Linked DNA regions of Ovis aries. The protein of the gene in region 2 interacts with the protein of the main gene of each other region in a biochemical or structural test. Links are inferred from orthologs where the notes say so. Each region holds a gene or a part of one and is shown on either strand. Other genes may lie near its edges.

Region 1 (4,090 bases), on a different chromosome or scaffold from region 2:
CCCAGGCACTGTGTTGGGTGCAGGCCAGACCCCTGGCCACCACCCACACCAGCTGAGAGGGTACCACACAGGGAGGGGAGAACTGGGATGGGACAGGTGGGAGGAGGAGGCAGAGAGGCAGTCAGCAACAGAGAGAGGCAGTGATGCAGGGAACCAGAGAGATTCATTCAACGTGATTATTTGCTGCATGTCTACTGTGTGCCAGCCACTGTGGCAGGCAGCAGGGATACAGCTGTGGACAAAAGAGGCAGAGATCCCTGCCCCCGTGGAGAGAACGCTCTAGCACAGGAGACGGATGGCAGACAAGATAAACAGGTAAGATACATGATACACGAGATGCCAATAAATAGTGAGAAGAAAAATTAAGCAAGAAAAGATAACAGGAAATATGTGTGGGAAATATGTGTGGGAAGGAGTATGACATTTCATACAGGTTGATCAGTGAAGGCGACCCCGAGAAGGCGGCGGGGGTGGAGATGGGGAGCAGTCCCCCTCGGAAAGGGAAAGGCAAGTGCAAAGGCCCAGAAGCAGGGGAGTGTCCCTGGTGGGGCTGGAAAGCAGAGGCGTGGGTGGAGCAGGGAGAGGGCGCCAGCCTGGGATTGTCAGCGGGGGTCAGACTCAGGGGCAGTGTTGAGAAACTTGGGCTTCGCTTTGGGGGGGGGGAGGGGATGGAGGGCATGGGACAGCTCTGAGTGATGTCACTCTGTAGAACAAGGAAAGGCAGAGAGAGACGGGAAGAGATAGAGAATCAGGAACAGACCCAAGCTGAGGCAGAGAGAGACAGACATGGGCAGAGACACCCCAAACTGGGAAAAGAGACACATTGAGAAAGACACAAAGGGGTGAGAATACACCAGAGAGAGACAGCAGACTGAGGGGGTCAGAGACTTGGTCTGACGGGCTGGTGGGGTGAGTCACTTCCTCTCTGTGGGCCTCAGTTTCCCCCACCCGCCCTGAGGACTTCTTCATGAAGTCCTTCCTTTCCTGACCTTTGAGGTCTAGGGCTGGAGGGAGACTGGGAGACTGGGAGATGGTCAAAGATAGAGGTGCACATCAGAAATCTGATCAAGGCCCACCCCGCCCCCACCCTCCAGTGCTCCAAGACAGTGAAAAGCAGGCTGAGTGAATCAGAAATGCATTCACTCATTAAATGAACAGATGGGCCCTGACGATGAGCTAGAAATGCAGAAATACTCAAAGGCATGAATAGACCTTGGTGAGAAAATGCAGGCACAGGGGGAAGATGGGGCAGGGAAAGTCGGGATCGTTGCAGAAAAAATAGAGCTGGACTCTCAGGTCCTGAAGGATACAGGGTTCAGGGCCCGCTTGGGTACCACAGTCTCCCCAGCATCTTCCAGGCCAGGCCTGGTCCAGAGGAGGGGCTCTGTGTGAAATACAGACCAGAAAGACAGTCCCCGGAGACGCAAGGATAGAGGGACAGGACAGGTGGATTGGAGGGCCAAGGGCTGCCTGGATCTCCTCGCCCTGCCACTCACCTTGGTAGATGTCCTGGAGAGAACCAGCCCCACAGAATTCCATGCAGATCCAGAGTTTCTGCAGCCTACAACAGTTCAAGAGCAAGAATAATAATAGCAGTAATAAATCATTATTTATAGGACAGTTTCTGGCTCACTGTCCATCCTATCCTAGTTCAACAAGAACTTGAATGTAAGAGGTGTCATCTCTCTATTGTCTACCAGAGTGAGATCATCCCATTTTACAGATGGGGAGATTGAGGCTCAAAGAAGAAAATATATGTTTAGGGTCAACTGGACCAAACCCAGGTGCCTGGGCTCCTACCATGACGTTCTCTGTTGTCCCATGCTAACCTAGGAGACAGGGCAGAGACTTCACAGGTTGTGGAAGTTCAGAGGGGACAGAGGAGCCCAGGATGCCAGGGCCGGGGGGCAGAGATCATTCTTGGGGCATCTGGGATATTCAAGGGTCAGGGAAATTAGGGGTTCATGTTAAAGGAACAGAAAGTGAAACTGGGGGACCTGCAAGTCAGGACGATGATCAGTTTTAGAGGGACTTGGTTTCACATTTGGTTACCACAAAGGGATCAATTTAGTGAGAAATGCTAGTTATTTATTGGAGATGAGGTTTGGAGGTGCTCTGGTCAAACAAGTGGGACTTCGGGCTGGGGATTAAGTTAGGAGCCTCAGTTAAAAATGGAGGTCTGGGATTAGAGGTTAGGTTGGAGGCGGGTGCTGGTCAGGAATGGGAGTTGGGGGCTGGGCTGGGGGGCAGGGGAGGTCTCATCACCAGAGATAACTCCCATGGTAGGCCACGATGTTGGCGTGCCGACAAGTTTTCAAGATGAGGATTTCCTTCTGAAGGGTGGAAACATCATCGTCTGCGAGGAGGGGCAGAAGAGAAAAGGCTACTGCAGGGATGGAGTATGGGGGAGATCCCAGGGTCCCAGGAGGTGGGGCAGGGGAATGAGGACCTGGGTGCTCTCCTCACCAGGCTCCATCTTCACCATCTTCAGTGCCACCAGGTCCCCTGTCCCCTTCTCTCGAGCCTTGTAAAGGGGAAGTTGGCAGTCAGGCAGGCTCCATTTGCCCGAGGTCTTCCTCAGCATCCCTGAAGCCAAGCTGAGGACTGGGACCCTCTCACATCCCCATCCCTTCTTGGGGCTCACCCCCAAGGTCACAGGTTTGAGAGTGTTGGAGAAGGAGGGGGGTTCCTCACCTTGAAAACTTCCCCATAGGTGCCGCCACCCAGCCGCTGCAGCAGGTCATAGTGGTCCCGGGGGTCCCTGTTAAAGATGTCAGGGTCTACGAGGTCCATTCCTGGGGGCCGGAGCTGGGCCTGCGCCCAGGGGCCAGCAGGGCCTCAGGGCTCCGAATGCTGGCACCTCCCTCCCTCCCCACACGCCCTGCACCCGCCTTGCCTCCACCGGCTGTGGCCTCCCCCCTCCCCACTCTCGCTTCCTGCCCCGGCACAGAGCTGTGCAGCCAGCGGCTCCACCCCCTGTCCCCTGGGCCCTGACAGCCTGTGAGGGGCAGCTTGCCTTGGGACCCAGGGGACTCCCCCCTCCACCTCCGGGGCCCTGGGCTGCATGTAAACCAGATGCAAACTATCTTCATTGTGACCTGGAGGGTGCCCTCACCCTCCCCCGTTATGGGCAGTGGCTAAAAACATTTGAACCTCTGCTGAACGCTGAGTGTTGGGCCACAACCTGGAGATGGCAGGTCTACACCGGGATGACCATGTAGTGTATGTACATCATTGTTCACCCGGGACACATACAGGCACTTAGTGGTAACTCCCCGTGCGGCGCGCAGGCCAGTCGCCGTGCACACTCCTGGATACCCGTGTGCACGTATGTGGATATACCCAGAGCATATACACATATGACACATGCATGTTCAGTCATGCTTGCAGTGGGCAGTATCTGAACACACAACTAGGGATGCCACATGCGGAGCGCTCGCCTTCACCCACAGAACTGGAGCTATGGGGACTGGGCGTGATCTAGCGGGGTCCACGAGCCCCTCTCTCCGCCCCTGCCGAGCTGAGCACAACAGCTTTGCGGGCCACTACCCTCGGCGTTAGGGTGAAGTGTGGGGGACCAGGTTCACGACTTAAAACTGCGAAGCTCAGGATCCTTCCTCAGAGGCCAAGGGGACCTCAGAGGGCACCTTCTTCGGCACATGCCCATGGACCAAAAGGATTGTACTGATGGAACCCCAGCAGTTTTGAGTTCACAGCCCGTGCACGCCGTCACGGATCAGTCTACTTCCCGCTAAGTCCGCGCTCACGCGCCAGGGTCTATAACTGGATACGCGAGGCCCGGGAAAAGCTTAGTCCCGCCCCCTCGCCGCGAGAAGGCGCCTGCGCACTTGGTTAGACTAGGTCTTTTCTCGCGCCGTAGCTTCTGCTCGAGTAGAGCGTATGCGCACGCGCTAACTGCGCCGGCTGGGAAGAAGTCACGCGGCAGCCGGAAAGCGTGGCAGCCGCAGCTAGACCCAAAGCACGATTCACCGCGGGGCTGGAGAGAAAACAATTACGTAGTTTCCGTTTCCACCAACTCTTCCTCTTCCGGTCCTCGAGGACGCTTTGCCGGCAGGGTCTTCGGCCTTAG
Region 2 (4,361 bases):
TACACAAAAGTAGAATAATGTAATTAATAGCTCCCCCCGCCACACACACACACACACACACACACACACATTAGCAAAGCAAGCAAAATGGACTAACTTATAGGCAATAATTGTGTAACACTGAAATGAGTCCTGGACTTCAAAAGACCTCCCTGAGTGCCTCTTGCAAAGCATACAACCTATGATAACTTCTCTGAGATATAATTGTGTATCTTTGAGATGCTCACTAAACATTTTTTTTGTATTTAATTTTGTATCTATATGTAAACTTATGGTGATGATAATCAGTTTATGATGTAAGCAAGTCAAGCCATTAAGCTGTACACCTTAAACTTGTACAGTGCTGTATGTCAACTATCTCTCTATAAAACTGAAAGAAAAATTAATATTAGAAGATGAAAAAAATATGACAAGGAATGATACAGTCAACTGGTAAGTCAGGTTAGGATTGGAACTCAAGCCTTCCTCTTCAAATTCTGAGCTATTCAAATTGTGCCCGAAAGTAACACGACGCGAAAGTATTTGGAGGGAAGCTGAAAACCTGCTTTGCTGAGTCACAAAAGGCCCTAGGCCGTGACGATTCCCCTTGAGTTTACCCGGAAGGAACGTCAGCCATCACGCTGCGACAGTGGTCCCCAGCATCCTGGGCGCCAGGGACCCTTCCGTGGAAGACAGTTTTTCCTCGGGGCGGGGGATGGTTCAAGCGCATTCCTTTCACGCTGCACTTTCTTTCTGTTATTCTTACATCGGCTCCACCTCCCGTCATCAGGCACTGGGTCGCAGAAGCTGGGGACGCCTGCCCTACCTACAGTGCAGGACAGGCTCAGCCCAGCAACGAGATCGGCTCCCCAGGAGTCTAGAGCCGGGCTCCGATGCCCCTCTGGACAGGCGCCTCCACCGGCCGGCGGGGGCGGGGGCGGGGGGTCCCCGACAGTCATTCATTCCGCCCAGGTCTGAGATCAGCGTAGGGCGGGGCGAAGAAGCGCCAGGCCCAGGGCTGAACAAGGCGCACCAAACCCCGCTCCCGTGAAACGGACGGTCCGGCGCGGACGGGGGTGCGGCCAGGGGCCGGGGCTTCTGCGGCGGGGGTCCTGGGGGGGCCAAGGCGGCAAGGGCTCCGAGAGGACGCGGGAGCTTCGCCAGCCACCGCCTGAGCACCCGCGGCGGTCGGCCCCGCCACCCCCTAACCTGGCCGGCCCGGCTGCGCACGGCCCGGGGCCGCGCCCGGGGGCCGGGCCTGGCCCGCGCCGCCCGCTTTGTTCCCGGAGCGGGCTCCAGAAGCGCCGCCTCCCCGCAGCGCCCCCCGGCGGGCCCGGGAGGGAGCGCGGCGCCGCGCGCGGGCGGCGCACGCCCGCCCTCGCGATTGGCCGCGCGGCGTGACGTCACGGGGCGGCGCCGGCGGCCGCCGGGAGCGGGCGCGCGCGCGTGCGCAGTCGCGGGGCGCGGGGGGGGGCGGGGGAGGTGGCCGCCGCTGCGCCCGCGGCCGCCATTTTGTTGCTGTGGCTCTCGGGAGCGGGGCAGGGCTCGGCGGCCCCGGCGGCGCGGCGCTCCCGGGCGGTGTGCGGCTCGGCGCGGCCGCGGGGCTCGGTGCGGAGCGGCGGGGACGCGGGGCCGGCCGCGCGCCGGGGCCAGGGCTGAGCGGAGGCGCCGCGAGCCGCCCTCGCCGCGCTCGGCCGGGCCCGCGCCCGGAGCCGGCTGGGCCCGCGCGGCGGCCCCGGAGCAGGCCGGCGGCCCGGAGGATGTTGCGGGCCCGCGGCCGCGAGGAAGGCGCGGGCGCGGGCCTGTAGGCGCGCGGTGAGCCCGAGGCCCGGCCGGCGCGCAGCCGCCGCGGGCGGGGCGCCCCCAGCGCCGGCGAGAGCGGCCCGCCCGGCCCCCCGCGCGCCGCCCGCCATGTCCTCCGCCAGGTTCGACTCCTCGGACCGCTCGGCCTGGTACATGGGGCCCGTGTCCCGCCAGGAGGCGCAGACGCGGCTCCAGGGCCAGCGCCACGGCGTGTTCCTCGTCCGCGACTCGTCCACCTGCCCGGGGGACTACGTGCTGTCCGTGTCCGAGAACTCGCGGGTGTCCCACTACATCATCAACTCGCTGCCCAACCGCCGCTTCAAGATCGGGGACCAGGAGTTCGAGCACCTGCCGGCGCTGCTGGAGTTCTACAAGATCCACTACCTGGACACCACCACGCTCATCGAGCCGGCGCCCAGGTGCGCGGGGCCGCGGGGCTCGGCGCGGCGGCGCCGGCCGGGGGCGCCGTGGGTGAGGGCGGTGCGTCGGGCCCGGCAGCTCGCGCTGCGGGCGCCCAGTTGGAAAAGGGGCGCTTTCTGCCCTTCGTCGCGTCCTCGGTGCAAATTACCTGCTGAAGCAGGGCGTTGCTCCCGGTCTTGCAGCCGGTTTGGGGCCACGGGTTGAGACTCTGAAGCTAGTCTTCGGCTCCCCGCCCCGCGGGCCCCTCCCTGCCCCCCGCCCTCCCGAGTTTGCACCGCTTTCAGGGTCTCTGAGCTCCGGGGTTGGACCTCCCGGACGGCAGCCTTTGGAAACTCTAGAGATGGAAATGCCTTCGCAGGTAGAAACGAAATGCCTTTACCTGTGAAATATCAGGGCCATATATTGATAGCCTGGTGCCAGGGTTGAAATAAGCCAGGCGTCTGTTTTATAACACATTAACTGAAAATACTGTAGAAGAGGTCGGCTTGAACGAGGAATTTTTTTTTTTTAATAGATTTCCCCCAAGCTGGGCCTTTAATGGACTGGAAATCCATTTGGTTAAATTCCAAGGTGGAATGAGTCTAGACTGTTACTAAGAGGAAATTTTGAATGACACTCCACTGAAGATTCTACGCTAGTTGAATTTCAGATGTCCTTTTTGTACTGAGTTGCATGACTTAGTATCTATTTTAAAATAACCCAGAGTGACACTGAGCATTGGGCATCCCTTTTCATTTGGGCTTCATTATTGGCCTTAATATTTTGCTCGAGGCTTCTTTTGTGCAGATTATGCAAAACTTGAGCTAAAGAGATGGCGTAGGGTTTTAAAAATAAAAGGTATTGATCTTTTCAAGCGTCTGCTTAGAAAGGACAGGGTGCTAATACAGGTTTTTTTCAGGGTGAGATGGTTCTGACTTGATAGATCTGCTGACAAGATAGTAGTCTCAGCTCTGAACATGAGAAGCTGTCGTATTAAAGGGGGACGCACTGGATGCTTCTGTGGACTAGAGGTAGAGAAGAATGAAGCCCTCGCGGTGTAATGACCAGGAGGTTAACTGCTGAGCTAAATGGACTTTAAAAGCTGGGAGACAGGGATTATAAATCAGATACTGCGTAACAAAGGCCTAGCCGCGGCGAGTCTGACTGGCGAGGCCTCCAGGTCCCCGAAGAGCCTGGGAGCTAGAGGCAGCGCTCAGCACAGTGTGATTCCAGCGTGAGAGGCTGGGGGCTCTCGGCTCCCGCAGTGGTGAGGCTTCAGCTGCGTTCGCGTAACTGGCTCTTCTGGCTTGTGAAGGTGACTGAGCGCTCTCTCGGGCACTGACTGGGCCTCGCCGCGCGCCTCAGTGCAGCCGTGAGGGAGGGACTCGAGCCCCTCTGGGTGGAGAGAAAGGGGCGCGGCCCTGGCTTCCCAGTGCCCGCAGCCGCCACCCCCAGCTTTCCCTTCGTGCTGCTTCCCAGATGCCCGTCCTCACCCTCTCCCGCCGCCTCCAGGGAGCCCGCGCTACACGCCCACTCGCGCCGGAGGACCTTTGCTCGGGCCCCACCCGCCCCTCACCGGGCGCGCCTCCCTGCCCTTGGGGCCTTTCCCTGGCGCTGCCCCCGCCTCCAGTTGAGCTTTGCTGTTTCTCCGCCCGCTGCCCCGGGCGTCCCGCTGCCGTCGAGTTTTCCTTCCCCTGGTGTCTCCGAGGGCTGCCGCTGCCCCAGTTGAATGAGATCCTGGCAGGATTCACTTGGTCACACTGAACCTGGATCGCCTCTCCCGGAGCCAGAAACCCGCGGATCTGTGTGATGCGCTTATTACTCAGCTAGTGTAGAAGACAAGGCCGGGCCAGCTTTGGCCAAAGGCAAAAATCAGGGCCGTGTGCTTCCACGCCCCAGGCAGGATGGATGAAGTGGTTAGGCTCTTTCAGGCCTCAGAACCGAGCTCCTGAAGCCAGAGCTTCTGCGCTTTGGCTAATAGTTATTTTTTGGGGTTCATTTTGCTCAGTAAAAAGTGACGACTTACTGGCTTCCTCAGAATTTAAGGACTGATCTCTTTTTTTTGTTGGGGGAGTAGCTTTTTTTTTTTGGCCGTGCAGCGTGTGGGAGCCAAAGTCCCTGGCCAGGGACCAAAACTGAGCCCTTGGCAGTGGCAGCTGGGGTCTCAACCTCTGCACCAC
Region 3 (3,585 bases), on a different chromosome or scaffold from region 2:
TATTTAACTTATATGCAGAATACATCATACAAAATGCTGGGCTGGATAAAGCAAAAGCTGCAATCAAGACTGCTGGGAGAAATATCAGTAACCTCAGATACAGCACCTTTATGGCAGAAAGCGAAGAGAAGCTAAAGAGCCTCTTGAGGAAAATGAAAGAGGAAAGTGAAAAAGCTGGCTTAAAACTCAATATTCAAAAAACGAAGATCATGGTATCGCGTCCCATAACTTCATGGCAAATAGATGGGGAAACAATGAGAGACTTCATTTTCTTAGGCTCCAAAATCACTGAAGATGGTGACTGCAGCCACGAAATTAAAAGATGCTTGCTCCTTGGAAGAAAAGCTATGACAAACCTAAACAGTGTATTAGATAGCAAAGATATCATTTTGCCAACAAAGGTCCATACAGTCAAAGCTATGGTTTTTCCAGTCATCATATATGGATGTGAGAGTTGGATCATAAAGAAGGCTGAATGTTGAAGAATTGATGCTTCTGAATTGTGGTGTTGGAGAAGACTCGTGAAGAGTCCCTTGGATAGCAAGGAGATCAAACCAGTCCATCCTAAAGGAAATCAAGCCTGAATATTCACTGGAAGGACTGATGCTGAAGCTGAAGCTCCAATACTTTGGCCACCTGATGCCAAGAACTGATTCATTAGAAAAGACTCTGATGCTGGGCAAGATTCAAGGCAGGAGGAGAAGGGGACGACAGAGGACATGGTTGGATGGCATCACTGATTCAACAGACATGAGTTTGACCAAGTTCTAGGAAATGGTGAAGTACAGGGAAGCCTGGTGTGCTGCAGTCCACAGGGCCGCAAAGAGTCGGACACGACTGAGTGACTGAACAAGAACATGATGAAAAAAATTGGAATCATGGGGTCTTGTAGATTCTGGCTTTGTCCTGTCCCTTCCCATTCACCCAGAGTATGTGGCCCATCAGAGCAATCCCCTAGAGGCAGCTAAAACCCAGACACCTGGCCCACTGCAGACATCTCCACCCAGTTGGTCTGCTCTGGAATCCATACTTCTGTATTTTCTTTTTGGTTGGGGCGACTGCAAAACCAGAGCAGCCTTGCTCAGAGCAGAGCCTGGCACACAGGAAGCACTGGGTCCATGTTTGCTCATGTTAACCCCTCCTGCAGTGCTCCCACCGCCCTCGCTAGTCAAGGGGACAGCACCAGCCTCTTCTCAGGGACAATGAGGACCCCAGCTCTGCCCCGGGGGTCTCATGGCTCCATCAGCACCAGGGAGCTTTTCGTATCAGTGCTTTCACAACGAGCTGCTCTTTGTTTGGTTCAGTGTTTATTATTGCTCTATCTGTCCACAGTGCAGAACAACCACAAACAGTGTGAATGATACATGAAAAGGTGGGCTTGTTCCTGTAGGTTTCATGAACATCTCTGCCTACTGTGGAAGCAATGGCTCCTACCTGATGGGGGCCGTGGGTGGGGTGGGTAGAGAGTGCAGAGAAAAGGAGAACTTTCCTCTCTGCAGCTGGCCCACTCATGAGGGATGTGCCTGCCTTTCAGTTTAGGGTTGACTCCCTGGGGCCCCCGAGGCAGGTGGGGGGTGGGCACATACCAGTCTCTCCTGGGCCCTTGGAGTGGGGTGTCTCGGGCATGTCGGGGGTGTCTTTGTGCTCAGCAGCTCTCCTGGAGGTTCTCGTCTTGGTGGGCAGTTCTGGGGCCTGCAGCAGGGTACCTGCAACCCCTCGCATGCCTTTCTTCCCCAACTCCTTTTCCACTTCTAAGAAACACCAAAAAAATTAAGAACAAAACCAGCAGTCATCAGCAGTGGTATCATTGTGGTATGTTGGCTTTCTCTTCTTAAGGCAACAGTAGTAAACTATATACGGTTACAGAAAAGGGACACACACTCTGAAGAAACAGTACTTGAGCAACTTTCAGAACCCTGGCTGCAAGAGACGGAAAGCCACCCTCAGCACCCCTGCTCCACTCTCTGGTCTCCGGCGAGATGCTGGCCCACACGCTCTAGCAGGAAGTGGACTGAAGGCCTGGGCTGGGCCCCACATGGCTGTCCCTCCCAGGTCGACCTCGCTCTCCACCACGGGCACCCCCAGGACGGGCACTTTACCATCTGATATGCTGGATTCCTGGAACATCGTTTCAAAGGCCTGGTGGATCTCAGCGAAGGAGGGCCGGTCGGAGGGATTCCACTGCCAACCTGCAGATGAGACCCAAGTCAGACTGCCCACGATGCCTCGCAAACATGGGGGGACGAGACATTCTCAGTGGAAAGTCTGGGAATTAACATTCCAATCCTGCTTAAGCATCTTTTGCTATGACAAGTTAAAGTGATGAATGTCACTGTGTCCTATTACAGACATTGAGAATTTGAGAAAATTTTACATACTGGCAGGAATACGGAGTCTAAAATCCCAGAGACAGGCTGACAGCAACAACTACATTTACAAATAGGATTTTACCGGCCTGCCTCCAGCAAACATAGAAAGTTACTAAAGCCAATAGCTTGCTTCCTACCTTACCCTTATTTCATGGTTATCAAAGCCCAAGTTCCTCATCAGAAAAGATGTACTAATTAAAACAAGGTTAAAATGAGGATTAAGGGATGACTAAATCCCATTAGGTGAAGACATAGAGTCCCTCTCAGAAACTTCTGTTGAGAGTATCAATTCATATAACCTTTTTGAGAAAAAGATGATAAAACCTATCAAAATTTAAAATGCACTTAGCTCCCTGAACCAACAGTTCAACTTCAAGAAGTACTAGCAAAGTGCACAGAGGTCTATGTTTGAGGGTGCTGGTTCCTGCCTTATTTATAATGACAAAAAAAAAAAAACAACGACAACAAATGTGTAAAGCAACCAAATGCTCATCAAAAGCAGACTGGATGAATGAATAAATCATGCAATAGATGCCAGACAGCTACATAAAGATATGAGACAGGGAAGTGGGGGAAAGAGGGTGCACTTGCTCTGAATCACAGACATGGAAACACAGGCCTGTTCCACTGCTAAGTACAAAAAAAAGTTGAGGTGATAAATTTTTATACATTTTATATATGCACACACACGTTACATACTTACACACACACAACCTATAACACACACATAACACACATACACGTAGCACTTACGCACACATATAACACACACACACACGTGTGTGTGTGTGTGTGTGTGTATGTATGTGTGTATGTAAATTGCTGAAATTTCAGGGCCCATAATATATATGGGCTTCCCTGGTGGCTTAGCTGTAGAGAATCCTCCTACCGATGCAGGAGATGCAAATTGGATCCCTAGGTTGGAAAGATCCTGGAGAAGGAAATGGCAACCCACTCTGGTATTCTTGCCCGGGCAATCCCACGGACAGAGGAGCCTGGCGGGCTACAGCTCACAGGGTTGTAAAACTTGGGGTTCTTATTAATAAATGCAAATTTCTTGTATAGTAGGCAAATATTCTGAGTGACTTTTATCCACCCAGGCTTGGTATCCATCGGTCTCTTTTGCATGAAAAACAAACAAAAAACCCTCATACGTAAAATACTATATATGAATAAAAGCGCATAGAAACATGGAAAAAAAAAAAAGTTCCAAACT

What was found.
Region 1: the proteins of CRKL (region 2) and MAP4K1 form a complex in vitro, tested with the Homo sapiens proteins (2 studies listed by BioGRID). The link is inferred for Ovis aries from reciprocal best matches to the Homo sapiens genes CRKL and MAP4K1.
Region 3: the proteins of CRKL (region 2) and ABL1 form a complex in vitro, tested with the Homo sapiens proteins (4 studies listed by BioGRID and IntAct, with this or other methods). The link is inferred for Ovis aries from reciprocal best matches to the Homo sapiens genes CRKL and ABL1.

Annotation. Positions count from the first base shown.
Region 1 is NC_056067.1:47,753,557-47,757,646, forward strand, and holds the start of MAP4K1 (mitogen-activated protein kinase kinase kinase kinase 1), read right to left. Parts: upstream 2,857-4,090; 5' UTR 2,794-2,856; coding exon 2,695-2,793; intron 2,525-2,694; coding exon 2,467-2,524; intron 2,357-2,466; coding exon 2,266-2,356; intron 1,562-2,265; coding exon 1,497-1,561; intron 1-1,496. UniProt on the Homo sapiens protein: Serine/threonine-protein kinase, which plays a role in the response to environmental stress. Appears to act upstream of the JUN N-terminal pathway.
Region 2 is NC_056070.1:72,322,160-72,326,520, forward strand, and holds the start of CRKL (crk-like protein), read left to right. Parts: upstream 1-1,488; 5' UTR 1,489-1,890; coding exon 1,891-2,201; intron 2,202-4,361. UniProt on the Homo sapiens protein: May mediate the transduction of intracellular signals.
Region 3 is NC_056056.1:5,791,617-5,795,201, forward strand, and holds part of ABL1 (tyrosine-protein kinase ABL1), read right to left. Parts: intron 2,190-3,585; coding exon 2,100-2,189; intron 1,752-2,099; coding exon 1,587-1,751; intron 1-1,586. UniProt on the Homo sapiens protein: Non-receptor tyrosine-protein kinase that plays a role in many key processes linked to cell growth and survival such as cytoskeleton remodeling in response to extracellular stimuli, cell motility and adhesion, receptor endocytosis, autophagy, DNA damage response and apoptosis.